Linked DNA regions of Oryzias latipes. The protein of the gene in region 1 purifies or fractionates together with the protein of each later gene. This does not show direct contact. Links are inferred from orthologs where the notes say so. Each region holds a gene or a part of one and is shown in the gene's direction. Other genes may lie near its edges. The genes, in order: mad2l1bp, lbr and mad1l1.

Region 1 (5,635 bases):
TCTAATTTGACCATTAAAATCGGCAAAAACAGAAATGCTTTTTTATTTTCACAATGTGACTGCATCAAATTACCTCAAATGACTCAAAAATAAAGTTAAAAATCAATCCTCCAAAATGCATTTTAATTTTCTACTTCAACATCGCTCATTTTAAAGTGAAAAATGCAAAGAGGAGATTGAATTTCTCGTTTTCACATCCACAGTGCAAAAAGTGTCGCATAATTAAATTCCAGTCAGCATTTCCAGGAGGGAGGCGGGGCGATGATGTCAGCGCCAATTATTTGAGACTGTAACTAAAAATGCAAAGACTTCAAACGGGAACCAGAAACAAAAAAGGCACCCAAGGTGATAAAATACCGACATTCAATAAAAGTATTAAGCTAAATGCATCTTTTAGGGGTTTGTTGATTTAGTAAACAACTGTACTTCTATATTTGTCTAAAAAAGGTTTTGCTTTTGTTTAAAACTTACCTGACTTCCGTATGAAACGAAACGGCATCAGTTTTGCTTCTTTCGGACATCTCCATAAACAAACCTTCACAGATCCGAGGGATCAAACCTTTATCATCCTAAATTTGACAAAAAAAGTGATTAGATAAATGTTCACAACACTATGGAAAGCAATATCTTTAAAAAAAATGTCTACTAGTGGTTAATATTTTGGGTTTTTTTCAGTGTTGCTATAGAAACACAAGCAAATGCTGCTGATTAACAAATGGGCTGATCTGAAGTGGAGTTACTTAAGCGTGAAAGCAATTTTCCAGTGTGAGCCGGCTGCCTTCTTTAAATCACAAATCAAAAGACAGTCAGCATTTAGAGTCATATAGAATTATCCAGAAGCTTGAACAGCAGCTCCGCTCATGACCTTGTATACGTTTCCAGAAAGACAAGCAGAAACTTCTTCCCACATTTTAAAACTTTCCATCGAAGAATAAGGTGAAGGGCGAAATGCTTCAGTGGGCACGTCAAATTTTCTGATTAGTAAAAAAGAGACAAGCCAGTCTATTGAAGCTGCATCGCCTAAAAAGGTTCTGTGATGTTCTGCAAAGCTGCAGAAATCTGAAACGCTGTGGTGCTCGTAGCGGTTACTGCCCTCACACTCATGGCATTTTCCTGCAGACATCATCAAAAGGCCCTGACTAATAATGGATCAAAAAAACACGTATAAAAAGGGAAACCCTTTAAAAATATAAAGGATGAACAAGAAATTAAGTAGATGTAAGAAGCATGAGGAAGAAGCCCACTAACTGTTAATATTCATTAGTTTTTTTAAGTAAAAACTAAATTATTTAATTTAAAACTTGATGTTCTCAAATTATATACATTCATCTTATTATTGCTTAATACCATATATATTTAAACATGAACACATTGCACAGGGCAGGCCACAAAGTACTGAAAATACTGGAAAAACTCACTTTCAGACCCATCATAGTGTGGGATTTCCCTGAGCCTGTTTGCCCATAAGCAAACATGCAGGCGTTGAACCCTTCAAATGCAGCTTTCAACACACCACAACCCAATTCCTGGAAAATCTGAGCAAAACAAAATGCATCAAGAACAAATATGCTGCAAGCACAAACTTTGGTAAAAAATAAAATTAAAATAAAGATCAGAAGATCTTCCATCATATAGAATAAACATGTACCTTCTGCTGGGATGCAAACGTGGAGCTTTCTGTGTCCATGGAGTCAAAAGCAAAGTCAAATGAGAATGTTTTCTCTCTGTCTTTCACCTTTTCCCCTCGCACAGGTGAAGACTAACATAAAAACAGACAAAAACTCAGATCATTGTTGACCTTGTTCACTTCTACAGACTGTTCTCGCATCATTTTGTGATTCCATACCTTCTGAATGGATATTGTGTTCCCCCTAATGTGAACCGTTTTCTTGGATGATAATTGCTGTTCCCTGTGTAAAAAGCCAAAAACAATCAACTAAACATTTTTAAGAACATCAACAACAACCACAGTTGGGTTAAAAAGCTTTTTTTTGACAAAGTTATCATTAGAAGAGCTCAAAAAATATATATTCAAAAACAAAATGTTAAAAAACAAATAATCATCATGAGCAAGAAGAAGTAGTGCCAATTTTTAAGCAAACTTAAATCTACCTTTTATTCAAAGGGCGGACTCGAACAGCCACGCGCACGGAAGACATGATAAAATAAAACCACTCAAAGGAATGAAACATTCAGGTCGTCACCCTTGTCTTTCTGTTTTCTTCAAGGTAATGAATTAATCTTCTTCCACGTGAACGTCGACTAATTATCACACCTGAGGAAGAAAGGCTACTTTTACTGGATGCACTACACAAATCAGGCACTAGGGGGTGCACTGAGCATTGTTTAGTGTGGCATTTGCAGTGTGATTTCCCGACTTAAAAATCTGTCATTAGCAAAAGAAATGTTATAAAATATGTGGTACTTTAGTTTATAAAATATTGTTCTGAATGGTATGATTTTTCTGTAGTTTTGTTTTGGTGGTCAAAGTATGATGTGTTTACATGTTAGAGTTAATGTCTTACAGTATGCCAGTCAAACATACAATACAAAATCCTATGATGATTATTATTTATATTATTCGTTTGTAAACAAGACAGAAAACATTTTAAACTATTTTTTTCCGAAAAATTTGAACGCACCACTTCAACCATTTCCCATGGTGCAGTTGGGTAGAGCCGAGCAGGCGCCGACTTTCAAAAAAACATGGCGGAACCTTGTTTGGTGCTAAAAACGACTCTAGATCCCGAAGTCTCCGAAAATCAATCCGCCGCAAACAGCGAAGACAGCAGGGTGAAGCGGCGACTGTCTTTTCCCTCCGAAAAAGAAATTAGTTCACGAGAAGAACCGAGTTTAACGTACTTAGACCTGAGTTTACAATGTCTTTCTGACGATTCAAACTCTCCTCAACCGACTGACGAGAAGCTGTCAGCGACGGTCCCAAACGGAACCGATGTCTCTTCTGAACAGCGCGAAGAGGACAAAGAAAACACAGAAATTCATCAAGGTAACAATGTCGAAAGAGTTTAGAAGAATTTTAAAAGGAAACACGTTTATCTCATTCTGACTGTTATGTGGTCTTCCTGCTAAATAATTAGCATAATTTGGCTTTAAAATAAACCTTTATATTTTAGCCATCGATTTCTTTACATAAATCTATATGTCAATTAGTTAATATGTCTACCAGGTTACTGTGATGTTGGCAACAGATATGGACTGTTTACAGAAGAGCAACAGGAAGAGGAGGAGGCCACTTCCTGTCAGGAGTCTGCCAGTGAACGCCACTCAAACACGCAGGACAGGGATGCTGAGGTGGTGAGGAGAGCAAAGGAAGAAGGCTGCGTGAGCGTGATCTTCCCCGGCCCCGTGACCCAAGATGGCAGCTACCGTTTTGTCAGCGAGATCCTCAAATGCGTTCTCTACCAGCGGCAGCAGCTCCCCATGACGTACGAGCAGCTCGTGTTCTCCCAGAAGCGGCAGCAGCAGCGAGACGTGGAGGTGAGAAGCACATTTCCAGCCGTCGGTGGCTCTTATAGAAAATTCAAATTGTGGTGTTTCTTTTCAGGATAAAGATGTGGTGAGACCAAGGAAGGTCCACTCCGCAGACGTGGATTACAAGTGTCAGCAGACCCTTCAGGAGCTGGAGGAGGTGCTCCACCAGCTGGAAGTGCTGTTCTCCCTCAGCAGAGTCCCGCGCGTCTTACTGATGATGGGCGGTTCCCTCGTCCTGCCGAAGGAGCTCTACGAGATCAACATGGAGGACCTGCTGCTGGTCGGCGGGGAGCAGGGTCTGCGAGCGTCCTCCTGCCTGAGGCTCCTCTTCCGCACGCTCTTCGTCGCCGACCTCCTGTCCGACTCCAGACCCGTTCGCTTGATGCCCACCACCGTTTTAGCCCTGGCTCACAGGGATTGCGGCGTGGACTGGTTTCGCCCCAAATTACAATTCAAGATTCCCACCCGGGTCAAAAACCAGATCATCGCTTTGGCCACAGATCCCAACGTCTGTGAGAAGCAGAGGGAAAAGGCCGACTGGCAGGATTATGTTTGGTTCCAGGCACCTGTGACTATTAAGGGCTTCAGCAACTAACACTAAAAGGGATTTGGATCATCAGAATGTGTGTCTGTGTGGAATATAAACGAGTGGATGTTTATTTTAGTAAAATGGTTGTTTTTTTTCGCATTAAGATCATGACATTCATGTGCATGTGTGTTGATTATTATTTTTACCTTTGGCATACAAAAGAATGTTTTGTCTTTGTGTGGGGAACAGAATATGCAGGTATTTCCAGAAAACACCAGACATCGCCGCTTGTGCAATACATTTTAATGAACAAGACTTGAACGGTTTGACAAAAGTCGTTGCTTTTGTTATTCATATCTCGGGACACAGTTAACATCCGTTATTCACTGAAAATGATTTTTAACTAGCATCAAGGAGAGCGAACCAGGTGCAGAGAAGATTAAAGCATATTTGTGTGAAGAATGATGAATTACAATTAAAACCAAAAGCATCATGACTCCTGCTCTGCATTTACAGCTTCTCCACTTTCTTCACAAACTGGATGATGTCTTTAGCGAGCAGCTGGGGCTCTTCGAAGGCGGCAAAGTGACCGCCGCTCGGCATGAGCGTGTAGGACTGGATGTTCCGATATCTGATCTGAGCCCAGGATTTGGGACAGTGCATCAGCTCGTTGGGAAACGCCGCCACACCGGTGGGCACGAAAATCCCGGTTCTACAACACAGAATAACGAGGATCAACAGCTTTGAAAAAGAATGTCAGGATTGGAGAGTAAAAGTTTGTGTGTGTGTGTTTGCATACAGGCCATCGATTCTGCTGTTGGGGTCGCTCTTGAAGTTCTCCTTGTAGAAGCGCATGGAGGAAACGATTGAGCCGGTGGTCCAGTAGATCATGACGTTGGTCAGAAGGTCATCCAAGCTGTACTTCCTGTAAAAAAGGATGTTCACTGAAAAATTAACCCCAGTAAATGAGCCTTTACACGTGAAGCCTGAGCTACTGCAACCCGCCCCCCAATTCTCCCCTTGCCACACTGGTTAGAGAAGCACACGACAAATTCATTAAAAAAAAGAAATTAACTGCAGCTTTTCTATTGGTTTTATCTCCATGGCAACCACTTGAAATTCTGGTTGTCTGTCATTGTTGGAAGAATCTGCAAAAAGCAATCTTTTTTTGATTTCCTTAACAGGTTTTTTGTTAACCCCACCCACTTTCCTAATATGTTCGTGTCGTATGTCCTGTCGCCTAGCAACCGTGAGTCCCGCACAGGAGAGGAGAAGAGAGGAGGCATGGAGTTTAAAAAAATTCCCTGCTTATTTGATCCAACTTTTAATCTTGGAGGTGTAATTATTAAAAAGGTGTAATTATCTCCAACTCTGGGTCCCGCTTCACGGTCCGCCATTGTTGTCAGGACAGGTCCAAGTTGGGCCGCAATGCATCTTGGGATATATGCAGTGTAGAAGGACACACCAGACCAATCCTTAAAATCGTGAAAGAGAAGGACGTACTCGGCTGCATTTGAAGGAGTCGCTGAATTCGGACAGCGCTTGTCGCTGTGACGTAAGCCGCCCACAAAGAACGCAGCCCTCCAATGTGGACACAGCCATTGCTCTGTTCAG
Region 2 (5,631 bases), on another chromosome or scaffold:
CTGCACGTAAACATGTAAGAATAACATCAGCCTTTATTTAGTCGGGACACGACTGGAAACACAAATCGGCGTGATTGTTTGAATGTTTTCTAAGGACTGAGCGACATTTCTGCTTTGATGCTCAAACCGCTGTGTGTCTGCTGACGATCCGAGCTGTGCTCAGACACACTTTTAGACCCGGTTCTGAGTTCGGTTGCTTGTACCCCTAGAGCTGCGGGACGGATCGCAGTCTTAAATCTCCCACACTCCATATATTTTGGGACTGTGTGATTATCAAGAAGTATTGGTCTGACATACATGAACATCTGCAAAATGTGTTTTCTATTGTTTTCCCCTTGTCTTTTGAAAGTCTGTTTTTGAGTAAAATTGATGGCCTAGACAACAAAAATAAGAAACTACTCTACATTCTCATGACAGCCAGTAAGAAAGCAATAACCAGAAAATGGCTTAAACCTGAACAACCAACGACAGAGGACTGGATTGATGTGGTACAAAGAATTTACATAATGGAAAGAATCTCACACTCTTTACAAATACGGCTGGATGCTTTTTACGCTACTTCAATTCAATTCAATTCAATTTATTTGTATAGCCCAAAATCACAACAACAGTCGTCTCGATGGGCTTCGAAGTAAAACATGAAATCAAAAGGATCACGAATACAAAGAGTTCAATAGAAAAATACTCAAATGAACTAACAAACTGACTAAGCTATACTGGCATCCCTGCCCTTAGACCCCCTACTTGGTCTATATGGACAGAATATAAGTCGGTAAGATCAGATTTCATCTGAAATCATGTCATATCATTTATGTTTTGAAACTCCCTGCTTCCTCACATGTTCCTTTTTTATTTATTATTATTTTGTTTTTTTTGTTTTTCAATTAAAAAACTGAGAAAGCATGAACATTGTGACACGTCAAAACAATGTACAATTTATCCTGTGCTTTTTCAATAAAAAATAAATTTGAAAAAAAAAAAAATCTCCCACACATACCGCTCATGTACCCCCCCCCCCCCCCCCTTCCCATCAAACACAAAGCTTTAAGTCTGCGCTCCGCCGGTCCACTTCACTAATTAAGTGCGGGAGCGACTACACTAATTTTCTATCTTGCTTGTTACTTTTTCTGTTAAAGTCACTTCCCTCAGTTTATACTGGATCATCGCGGATTAGTCATTAGTTGGGAAATAAAATGAAAAAAGCAAAATAACGAATAGCAGTTATATAAGAACGAAAAATGTAAAAATACCCCCCCCCCCCCCCCCCCCCCCACGATGTCATCGTCCATCCCGATGGTTGACAGCAAACATCGTCAACGGCCAAATTAGGGGACATCGCCCAACCCTAGTTCCAGTCCATCTCCAACATTTCCAGAAGTTGACTGAGGTCTTGCAGCTGGACGCAGGCCATATGCCTGAGCCCAGCGCAACCTGCAACGCTACCAAAAAAAGGGTAGCAGCTGTTTTTGTTTTTTGTTTTCATCTTGACGTTCATTCAACCAGGAAGTTTATTTTTCTATATCCACATGATTTCCTCTGTGGTGTCAGCAGTTGAAGAAATTCTGGGATGTCCTTTAGAGTTTGTAGATCAGCTGATGTTGGTGTGAAAACGGAATGACAACAGTGAAAGAACTGCACGCTTTACTGGAGGCTTTTCAGACAGAACCGCTTCAGTGCCTCATTTTCCTCACATTTGGATCATTAGACAGAATCTTTAGAACTTTTTCTAACTTTGTCCAGGGCATTCAGGCCAATCCTGATGTGATGTTTGTTTCTGTGTCCGCTTGAGTTCCTCATCAAAGTTCTTGAGTTTTTTGGTTTCCCCCGATCTGGCCCCAGGCCCCACCCCACCCTCCCACGACTTCCTGTTTTACCTCGTCTCACCTGACTCGGGGTGTTGCCTCGGTTCTCTGGTTCCGTGAGTGGTTGATGGGTTCGAATCGGTTTGGGACCATAGAGGATGTGAAACTTTACCAGCGTTTTCTCCGGTTTGTGTCTCTGCAGCTGAGTGAAGGCGTGCCGCTGCGGTCCGGACAGAGGCTGAAGTACAGAACCAACGGTACGTCTGACGGCAGCGACTGCAGTTTATGGGGCGGGGCCAGCTGTCATGAACGTTTTCAGACGGACAACGATGGCAGAGGTCCAGACGGGGTGGTTTGTCGGTTCTGTATCAGAACCTCCTGGCGCATCAGAACCTCCTGGCGCATCAGAACCTCCTGGCGCATCAGAACCTCCTGGTGCATCAGAACCTCCATGTATGGTCCCGTCTCCCTGAGCAGTGAATGATTCTGTGTCCTGCAGGCTTCTTCGCCACCGCCGCCTCAGCTGCAGCGGTGGCGGCAGCAGTGTACCTGGGCGCTGACCTCACCTACATCCACAGCCACTTTCTGCAGCTGGCCGCCGCCTCCTTCCTGTTGTCCGTGCTGCTGGGCCTCTTCCTGTACGTGCGTTCTGGCCATGCTGCCCCTGAGGAGCTGGCGGTGGGGGGAAACTCAGGTGAGTGAGCTTTGGCTCGGTGAGAAGATGATGATCTGGACGTGGGGGTTAGGGGTCAAGGCCCTCGCCGAACACTCGGTGCTGAGGAAATCTGATGGTACGATGGGTTGGAGTTCGTGAAGATTGATTTGTTTGACCGTCTGCATACTGCAGTGATGAAAGTCTTCCGGGAATTCCCGGAAATCCGGGTTTTTGAGCAAACCGAACGTACTTTCCGGGAAATAAAGACCTGATCTCTACGGACAAATCGCTTTCCGGATTAGAAAATGGTCTGAAATCAGCTAATTTTAGCTTTATTTTCTATATTTCTCCGCAGATCGCTTCCTCTATGGTCGTGGCCATCTTTCGTCTTCCCGGCCTAATTGACCAATGACGGGACGTTTTAGTTGCTTTCGGATGCGTCGACGGGTCTGATTGGCTCTGTCTGCACCACGTGGTCAGCGTGACTTGCTTCCCTAGAGACCAAAACTGGCGGACCCACGCTAAACTTTCACAAACACATCTGAAGAGTTTGCGATCAAATTTGTGTTAAAATAATGGCAGGCATCGTCATTATTGAGCGTGGTCACGACCTCAGTTGTGAGAAGACGATAAAAAACAAATTGAAGTGGTCTTGGCTGGAAAAAAAAGATTTTTAAGGTAGTGTAGGTCAAATACTTTTTTGTGTAAAATAATCTCAAAACCACATTTTGAAATAATTTCAATTTTAGTTTTGAGTTTCAGTTTTTATTTTGAATACATTTCTCTATCTAATTTATTTGTATTTCCTAATTACCATGATTTAGTTCAGTATAGTTAACATTAATTATAAGTATTTGATGGTTTGGACCCGCACTCCCTTAAAAAATAATGTTTACAATGTTTAGTTTAGTTTGTATGTTTGTTTTGATATTTCCCAGATTACTTAGTATTGGTGTTAAAGAATTGATGTATTATGTTATAGAATTATAGTTTAAAGCAGATCCCATATTTTGATGTAATTATAGTTTGAGAAAACAGTGCAAGTGGATGTTGTACATCAGTCATTTCTAAAGCAGAAATAATGTATAAATAACTGAGGTATTTTCATAGAATATCATAGTTACTGGTGTTCTTTTTGCCATTTGGGGCTTTGATGTTACTATATTTTAGCAATTGTATGTTTTGCAGCTTTAAGGAAAAGCGTAGATTGTAGGATTGTGTTACTTTGAGCAATTTTCCAAATTCTTTTTTAGGACCAGCAAGTCCTTAATGGAGAGTCAAACTAGGGGTTTGAATGACAAATCATGATGCTCCAATTAGTCTTAGTTTCTTGATAAAGAAGTGAATAACTAGCTGCCAGAATGCACCAGAATGCATCTAAGACCACGTATTTTTCCAAAATTTCGCTCTGTGCCCGCCATATCGCTCAAAGAAAAGTTCAGGGATTTTTTCCTTGCCTGACTTTCATCACTGATACTGGAGTGCGTGCAGAAACAGAAGCACGTGATCTGGACGCTGGATAGTCACTGCGGTCCGCTCTCATGTCAATAGAGACTGTAGGTGATGACGGCGTCTGCAAAGGCTGAATCTGTCCCCGCAGAACGCCGTTCTCCATTACAGTTTCATACATGTACTCTCACGTGTCATCTGTCTGTTTACATACAGTGGTGGACAAATAGTTGGTCCCCCTCAGTTGAAGATAGAAAGTCCACAATGTTCACTGAAATGACGTGAAACATTCCAAAGTAACAATAAATTAAAATTTATTGAAAATTAAATAATCAAAATTAGCCATTACTTTTGAGTTGTTGATTAACAGAATTATTTAAAACAAACAAACAAATGAAATAGGGCTGGACAAAAACGATGGTACCCATAGCTTTATATTTTGTTGCACAACCTTTTAAGAGATGTGATGAGATAAGATAAAACTTGTCATTGTACAGTCACACTTGGTACAACAGTACAATGAAATTGCAAACGGTCCCACATAGGTGCAAAGAAAGAGAAGAAAACAACATAAAAAAATTGCAACAATTATCTTACATACAAATAAAACTATCTATCATGTAACTGATCATTTTCTTGTATCATTTAACATCTCCATCACTTTATCTGTCACTAAACCCTCCCGCCTCATCTCTTTTCATAATGTCAAAAACATCAATGTGAACGCACTTTCCTCACTCATACGTGATATTCCAATCCCTAACACACCAAACCCTGATGAACTCGTCTCCTCTTACAACAACCTTCTTTCTGATTCTCTTAACCAGCTCGCCCTGTCTCCTTCTCCAAATCTGCCCCCTGGTTCACCCCAGAGCTCCGTCACATGAAAGCCAAAGGTCGCCAGCTAGAGCGACTCTATAAAAGAACTGGCTTAACTGTTCACAAAGAAATCTATAAATCACATCTCACACAGTATAAGGACCTGGTTTCTACCACAAAAACAAACTATTTTTCTGAACTCGTCTCCACAAACAAAGGCAACTCAAAAACTCTCTTTTCCCTGATGAACACTATCTTCAACCCCCCTGACTCTCTCCCTCCCCATTTCTTTTCCACTGAAACCTGTAACTCCCTCATGTCATTTTTTGACCAGAAAATTCATGTCATCCACCAACAGCTTAGCTCTTCTCTCTTCCCTCCCATCCCTGACTCTTTTCCCCTCAATCATATGTTTTCCTCCTTTCAACTGCCTGCCTGACCACGAGGACATTTCCTCTGTCATCCTTAAATCCAAACCGACCACCTGTTCTCTTGATCCCCTCCCAACATCTTTAGTTATAGCCTGCCTCCCATCTCTCCTTCCGCTCATTACTGCCATTATTCACTGGTCACTCTCATCTGGTACTGTCCCATCACTTTTTAAACCCATCCTGAAAACCCGGTTCAGATCCCAACTTATTCAATAATCTCCGTCCAATTTCCAACCTTCCCTTCATTTCCAAAATTCTAGAGAAAATAGTCGCCTCTCAACTCTATGATCATCTGAAACAATAATCTTCTGGAACCTTTTCAGTATGGTTTCAGCACTGAGGCTGCTCTCCTGAATATCACCAATGATCTTTTCATTGCAGCTGATTCTGGGCTCCTCACCATCCTCATCCTCCTTGACCTGAGTGCAGCCTTTGATACCATTTCTCACTCCATCCTCCTCCAAAGGCTCTCCTC
Region 3 (5,631 bases), on another chromosome or scaffold:
TGCCCAGTCTTTATGCTCAGAGCACATTATAAAAATAAAGGTAGCAATCACTTAAAAAATTTGTCGTAAAGATTAATATTACATTTTTCAAGTCTGGAGATGCAATAAATGCTGTTTGTTATTTTAAATCGTATCATTTGAATGAATCTAAATCAGTTTATGATGAAATGAAAGTACTGCATGCTTTGGTAGAAGGTTAAAGGAGCTTTTCTTTTTGGATTTCCCTCCGTCTGATCTTACAGGAGCTGGAGAGGCGTCTTATTCTGCAGGAACAAGACATGGCAATCGTGAAGACTATCAAGTCGGAGGCGGCGAAAGTTACAGATCTGGAAAAAGAGTTGAAGCGCCTTCGAGAAGAAAATTCTTTTCTGAGGTGGAAAAATTTATACGCTTATGATTTGTAGATGTTTAATTCATCATTTCTTTATTTTATTTTATTGTGCTCTTTTTTCTTTTCTTTTTTTGCAGATATAGCAATGTTTTATGAAAAAAAAATTAACAAAATAGACATGAGCCTGGATTACTAATGAATAATAATGAAGACAACCTCTCAACAAACAATAATTCCCCTGGGTTTTTTGGTTTGGGATTATTTCTCAGCAGGACAAAAAGATTCAGCTTTTATTTTAAGCTTGGATATCGCAGCTAAAATAACCAGTTTCTACAATGAATGCCATTCTCCTGTGGAAGTGTCAACACAATGTTTCAGTGTGAAAATGGCTGCAACAGTCACAGAAGCTAATGACAATGCTGACTGTCAATTGCCATGATAACTGATGTGAGAAAATCTAGTTTTCATTGACTGGATTTTAATAATCAGTTTTAGTTTTTTTTTTGTTTTTGTTAATATTTTCATCTAACTTTATTTTATCAGAAAATTCCACCAAATACCATTATGAAGGGAGAACAACAATCTGCTGATTTACCGCTATCATGTCTTTGTGTTTGCATGTTGCTGGGCAGATTACAGATGCTTTTCCGAATTCACTTATTTGTGGATTCTGTCAACATAGTTTCATTAATAAGTATTTTTAAAATATGTTTTTAATATTGCTAATTCACCCAAAAATATTTAAGTTAGATGTGTAAATAGAATAACATAACAAACTGGATTTTCAGCTGTTTGAATTTCTCTCTTTTAACTTCAAACTTGATTCCTTTCTGAAGATTTTTAATTATGTTAACATTTTGGTTTACTGTGGAAAACACTGCTAAGTTGCTGTGGAAGAAAAGGAGCAAAAATGTTATCCATTTATCAAATCAGTTTGATCTATAAAAAAGTTTTTTCATTCTTGAAATATCCAGTAACAGATTGATGATTGCTGAACCCTAAGCTTAGAGTGACTGTGTGGTTCTGCTGTGTTTCTATTTTGTCAGAGAGAGCAGAGAGAATTACAACCTGTTGAAAGAAGAAGCAGAAGGACTTCGTAAAAAACTGGAAAGGATGGAGAAAACCAAAGAAGAGCTCGTCAATGTGGAACTTGAAAAACAGGTGTGATATAACAACACAAATAGTGCCGATAAGGACACAACTATGCAACACAACATGCACAGTTTAGCTCAAACACAAAGTTTTGCCACCGCAAATCAAAAGTAAGTGATGGAGATAAATCCAGTATATCGGAGAAAGTTTATATTATGCTTTTGTAGTTTGGGCTTTTGATTGTTTTCATTTCCCTTAATGTTAATTGTACCTTTTGTTTTTAGCAGGTTTTCTAATAGCGAACATTTTTTATCATATTTTTATTTTTGTCTGCACAAGAAAAGGATAGAGCCGCATTCCAAACACAAACTCAGAACCCAAATGAAACGAGGAGCAACATTTTTTTGTGTGCATCAGTGGATGCAGACGACCTGCAGACACTTTCAAACCCTTTGAGTTTGTCACAAAAGCAGGAAGCCTCCATAAACCACATGAAGCTGTTGGTACTTCGGTGATCCTTCTTCTGGGTTTTGGTTCTTTAGAGCTCTACAGTTTAACTAAAAAGAAGAAAATTAAGTTATAATGAAAAGGTAAATAATAGGAACAACATCTGCTACATCACACAAATATGTGACACATGTCACACATTGCCGGCTCCGCCCCTGTTACGAAAGGCTTCCTGCACATTGAAGGCTACGCGCCGTCACATGATGCTACCTCCACCTCTGTCACAAAATGCTCGCTCTGCCGCTGTCATAGGTCGATAGCTCTGCCTCCCTCACAAAAGGCTGGCTCCGCCTCCCACACAAATAGTTGGCTCCACCTTCGTCAAAACGTGCAGGCTCCGCCCCATCGCAAATAGAAAAACTCTGCCTTTGTCACTATTAGTTGGCTCCGCCCACACCACAAAAATGCTGGCTACGTTACGCTTTGCTTGCTATGCCCCTGTCACAAAAGGTTTGCTCCGCCTTCACACATTAAATGCTCCGCCCCATCACAAAATTCTGGCTCCGCCTCAGTCACAAACAGATGGCTCCGCCCTATCAGACAAAGCAGGCATGGGGGACACTGTGGTCACACAGAGGCAGGTGTGTGATTACATCTAGAAAAGGTTGAGGGGTTAAATTTAGCCTTAACCAGGGCACTAAAACGGTTACTGGTAAGCTTAGCAGCAGCCAGAACCAGATATGGAGTTCATTTGGACTTAGAAAGGCAGAAGCCCAACCTCCTAAGAGGAAGGGAATGGAGGAGCCAAAGCTAAAATGAGGATGCCTGCAAGAGGTGTCTGAGGGTCTGGTCAGGGATGCAGACAGGCAGGTGGAGGAGGCTGAGGAAAAGGCAGGAAGCAAGGAGACTAACCTAATATCAAGGGTCCAACCCTCTGAGGAAGGTCAAAAGGAGAAGTTGGCAGAATCGGCTTAGTTGATGAAGATATTCCAACCAAGACTGCAGGGCTAAGAAGTTGACTTTGTGAATGGTGTTTATTTGTTACTTTTTAACTTATTGTTTATTTAATTCTTGGAGTGGTACAAAAATCATTTCACTGCTGCAAATGTGGATTGATTCTTATTTCACATTCAGAAGTACTGTAGTTTGGTTTGGTTAAGAAATTATTGCTCTAAAATTTCATTCTTCTTGCTGGGAAATAGGCTGAGAAATTGGTCTTAGATTTTAACTTGAGGAAACATGTAAGAACCCTGATCATAGACTTATTTTTCATAAACATGAAATGTTTTTTTGGATTTTAGCATCTGTGGTATTTTTACTGTAACAATCTTTTGTTACATGGCTCTTCAATGTATTTTGGTCTACGAAAAGCCTGGGCTAAAAAAATAATTACAAGTATTTAGTACTCCTTTAATGATAAGATTAAAACAAGGAAATCCTTTTTTGGATGACAATAACAAAACAAGAAAGAGACAATAAAGGTTATGAGCTGTAAAAAAATGTTGTAAAGATCTTTTTTGTTGTTGTTGCTGTGTTTTAATAATTCTTTTTTTATTTATTAGGCCTAATTCTCATTAAATCCTAAATTCAACAGTAACTAGGCTTAATTATTATTCTGTTTTCCCTTTCAGAGGTTGGTTGAAAAGCTCCAAGCTTGGGAGAACCTTGGGCAATCAACTGGACTCAACATAAGGTCAGTCACTGCCTGAAACCAAACCTTTTTTTTTATGTCAAATGAAATGCACAGTATGACCACCAGATGGCACTGCGATCTTTCTGATTCATGGGGGTAAAAATAGATAAAGAGCACTTTCTCTCTTTAGTCAGTTTGTAATGTCACCCAGGTACCAAAATTCAACATTTCAACAGGCACAGAGCTCACACATGCTGGATATGAGGAGGATTGGAGCTTTGGATTGGAACAGGACAGCCACTGAATTTAACACGCAGTAGAGGATTGAGTCTTGTTTCAATGGTGACACTTTAGAACAGGGGTGGGCAATTATTTTGACTCGTGGGCCACATAGGGTTCTAAAATTGGGTAGAATGGCCAGACCAGGAGCAGATGCGTGGAGTGAGAAAGAAATAACATGGAATCTGGATGAAAACATCTGGATTCAAATTATATTTTCAAACTTTTGTTCTCAATTTAGAGCCAATTGCACCAATGGCTTGATGTACCTTGTGTAAAACTTAGAGAAATGTTGTGTTTGAATGGTAGGAAGAATGAAAAACAACAAATCTTCCAACACCACATGGATGCTAGAGCAGAGTCCCCAAACTTTTTCTTGTGAGGGCCACAACAACTCTTTTTCTTTAAGCTTCTTTTATCTTTCTTTTATTGTAAAGCCCTAATATGCTTATAATTAAATAAATAACACTATTTATGAAATAAAACAAATGACCGAAAAACTTTCTGTGACAAAAAGTCAGGAAAAAATATGCTGATACATTAAAACGAAAAAAACAATAGTGGATCCTCTCCCGTCATTTTCTGCAGCTGTTGAGGGCTGCAGCTCCTCACACGCCTCACACGTTGCTCTAAAGCTGAGCAGCTGTGTCCTGCACGTCTGTTTCTCATCCAGTAATAATGAAAAAAGCAAATGTCTATGTCTTCTGCTGCAGCTACTCATATATCTGCGTTACCTTTTCACCAGTACAGAGTTCCATCATGTATTGCAGGAGTTATGTTCTAAAAATAACCGTGATCGGTGAAATCCACTGAGTCTGATTACAGATGTGTTATGGCAGTAAAACTCCTCACTGCCTAAATACCCTTTTCTCAGACAGGCATGAACATTTTCACCCTTTTTTCTCTTGTTTTAAATTTCAAACTTTCATAGAAATCAAGTCTAGACAAACAAAGATCTGATCGCGATCAAAGATTTCTGTAGATCTGAAGAGCTCTGCATTTCTGTACCGGAGACACGGCACGGAGGAGATTGATTGACAAGGTCTCCAGCCAATCAGGACACAGAACAGGGTGCGCTGTTTAAAAAAAAAAAAGTAGCATAATCACTCTAAAAGAACAAGCTAAACCGGGAACGATGAACTGCAACGTAGAAAGGGAAGACTATCTTCTCCTCTGTTTGACAGAGATTTTAGAAGGTTTCAGGTTAGAGCTCAGACTGCAGAAGGGTGGAGTAAAATGTTACATTCTAAATTATCATCTAATAGGACTTTGATTCAGGAATAAATTCAATATGAATGTATTTTTTTAAATTTCCATTTAAAAGTATTGTTATTTGGTAATAAAAAACAATTTTAACATAGCTAGGTAATTGATCATTGGAACTTTTAAAATAAGTATGATTTCTAAAACCTAAAAACTCTATAAAAACAGTTTACTGTAAATTAAATTCTGGATTTCATGAATCCACATTAGTGGAAAAAAATTGGTTTAATTTTAATAAACTGAAAAAAAAATCTTTTTTGTTTTTTTAGTTTTCTTTAGAAAAAAGATATATATTTTTTTTAACTAAGCCCTTGAGATTTAACTGTTTATGTCGCTGAGGATGAATTTAAAGACATTTGGGGCTGCATGGTGGCGCAGTGGTTAGCGATCTTGCCTCACAGCAAGAAGACAGAACCCCAACGGGGGACCTTTCTGTGTGGAGTTTGCATGTTCTCCCCGTGCATGCGTGGGTTTTCTCCAGGACTTCGGCTTCCTCCCACCGTTCAAAAACATGCTTATAGGTGAATTTGTGACTCTAAATTGTTTCTGGGTGTGGGATTTGTGGCCCTTCGACAGACTGGTGACC

Evidence for each region.
Region 2: the proteins of mad2l1bp (region 1) and lbr purify together in Homo sapiens (co-immunoprecipitation; 3 studies listed by BioGRID and IntAct, counting the BioPlex papers as one, with this or other methods). This does not show direct contact. The link is inferred for Oryzias latipes from reciprocal best matches to the Homo sapiens genes MAD2L1BP and LBR.
Region 3: the proteins of mad2l1bp (region 1) and mad1l1 purify together in Homo sapiens (co-immunoprecipitation; 4 studies listed by BioGRID and IntAct, with this or other methods). This does not show direct contact. The link is inferred for Oryzias latipes from reciprocal best matches to the Homo sapiens genes MAD2L1BP and MAD1L1.

The regions. Positions count from the first base shown.
Region 1 is NC_019873.2:27,031,351-27,036,985, reverse strand, and holds mad2l1bp (MAD2L1-binding protein), read left to right. Parts: upstream 1-2,658; 5' UTR 2,659-2,706; coding exon 2,707-3,007; intron 3,008-3,226; coding exon 3,227-3,498; intron 3,499-3,565; coding exon 3,566-4,087; 3' UTR 4,088-4,517; downstream 4,518-5,635. Other genes in the region: uncharacterized protein LOC101165914, read right to left, coding at 472-569, 1,419-1,535, 1,649-1,759, 1,847-1,910, 2,113-2,192; epoxide hydrolase 1, read right to left, coding at 4,532-4,733, 4,821-4,946. UniProt on the Homo sapiens protein: May function to silence the spindle checkpoint and allow mitosis to proceed through anaphase by binding MAD2L1 after it has become dissociated from the MAD2L1-CDC20 complex.
Region 2 is NC_019882.2:329,711-335,341, reverse strand, and holds part of lbr (lamin-B receptor), read left to right. Parts: intron 1-2,004; coding exon 2,005-2,059; intron 2,060-2,301; coding exon 2,302-2,496; intron 2,497-5,631. UniProt on the Homo sapiens protein: Catalyzes the reduction of the C14-unsaturated bond of lanosterol, as part of the metabolic pathway leading to cholesterol biosynthesis.
Region 3 is NC_019859.2:22,958,689-22,964,319, forward strand, and holds part of mad1l1 (mitotic spindle assembly checkpoint protein MAD1), read left to right. Parts: coding exon 1-40; intron 41-242; coding exon 243-373; intron 374-1,377; coding exon 1,378-1,492; intron 1,493-3,501; coding exon 3,502-3,563; intron 3,564-5,631. UniProt on the Homo sapiens protein: Component of the spindle-assembly checkpoint that prevents the onset of anaphase until all chromosomes are properly aligned at the metaphase plate.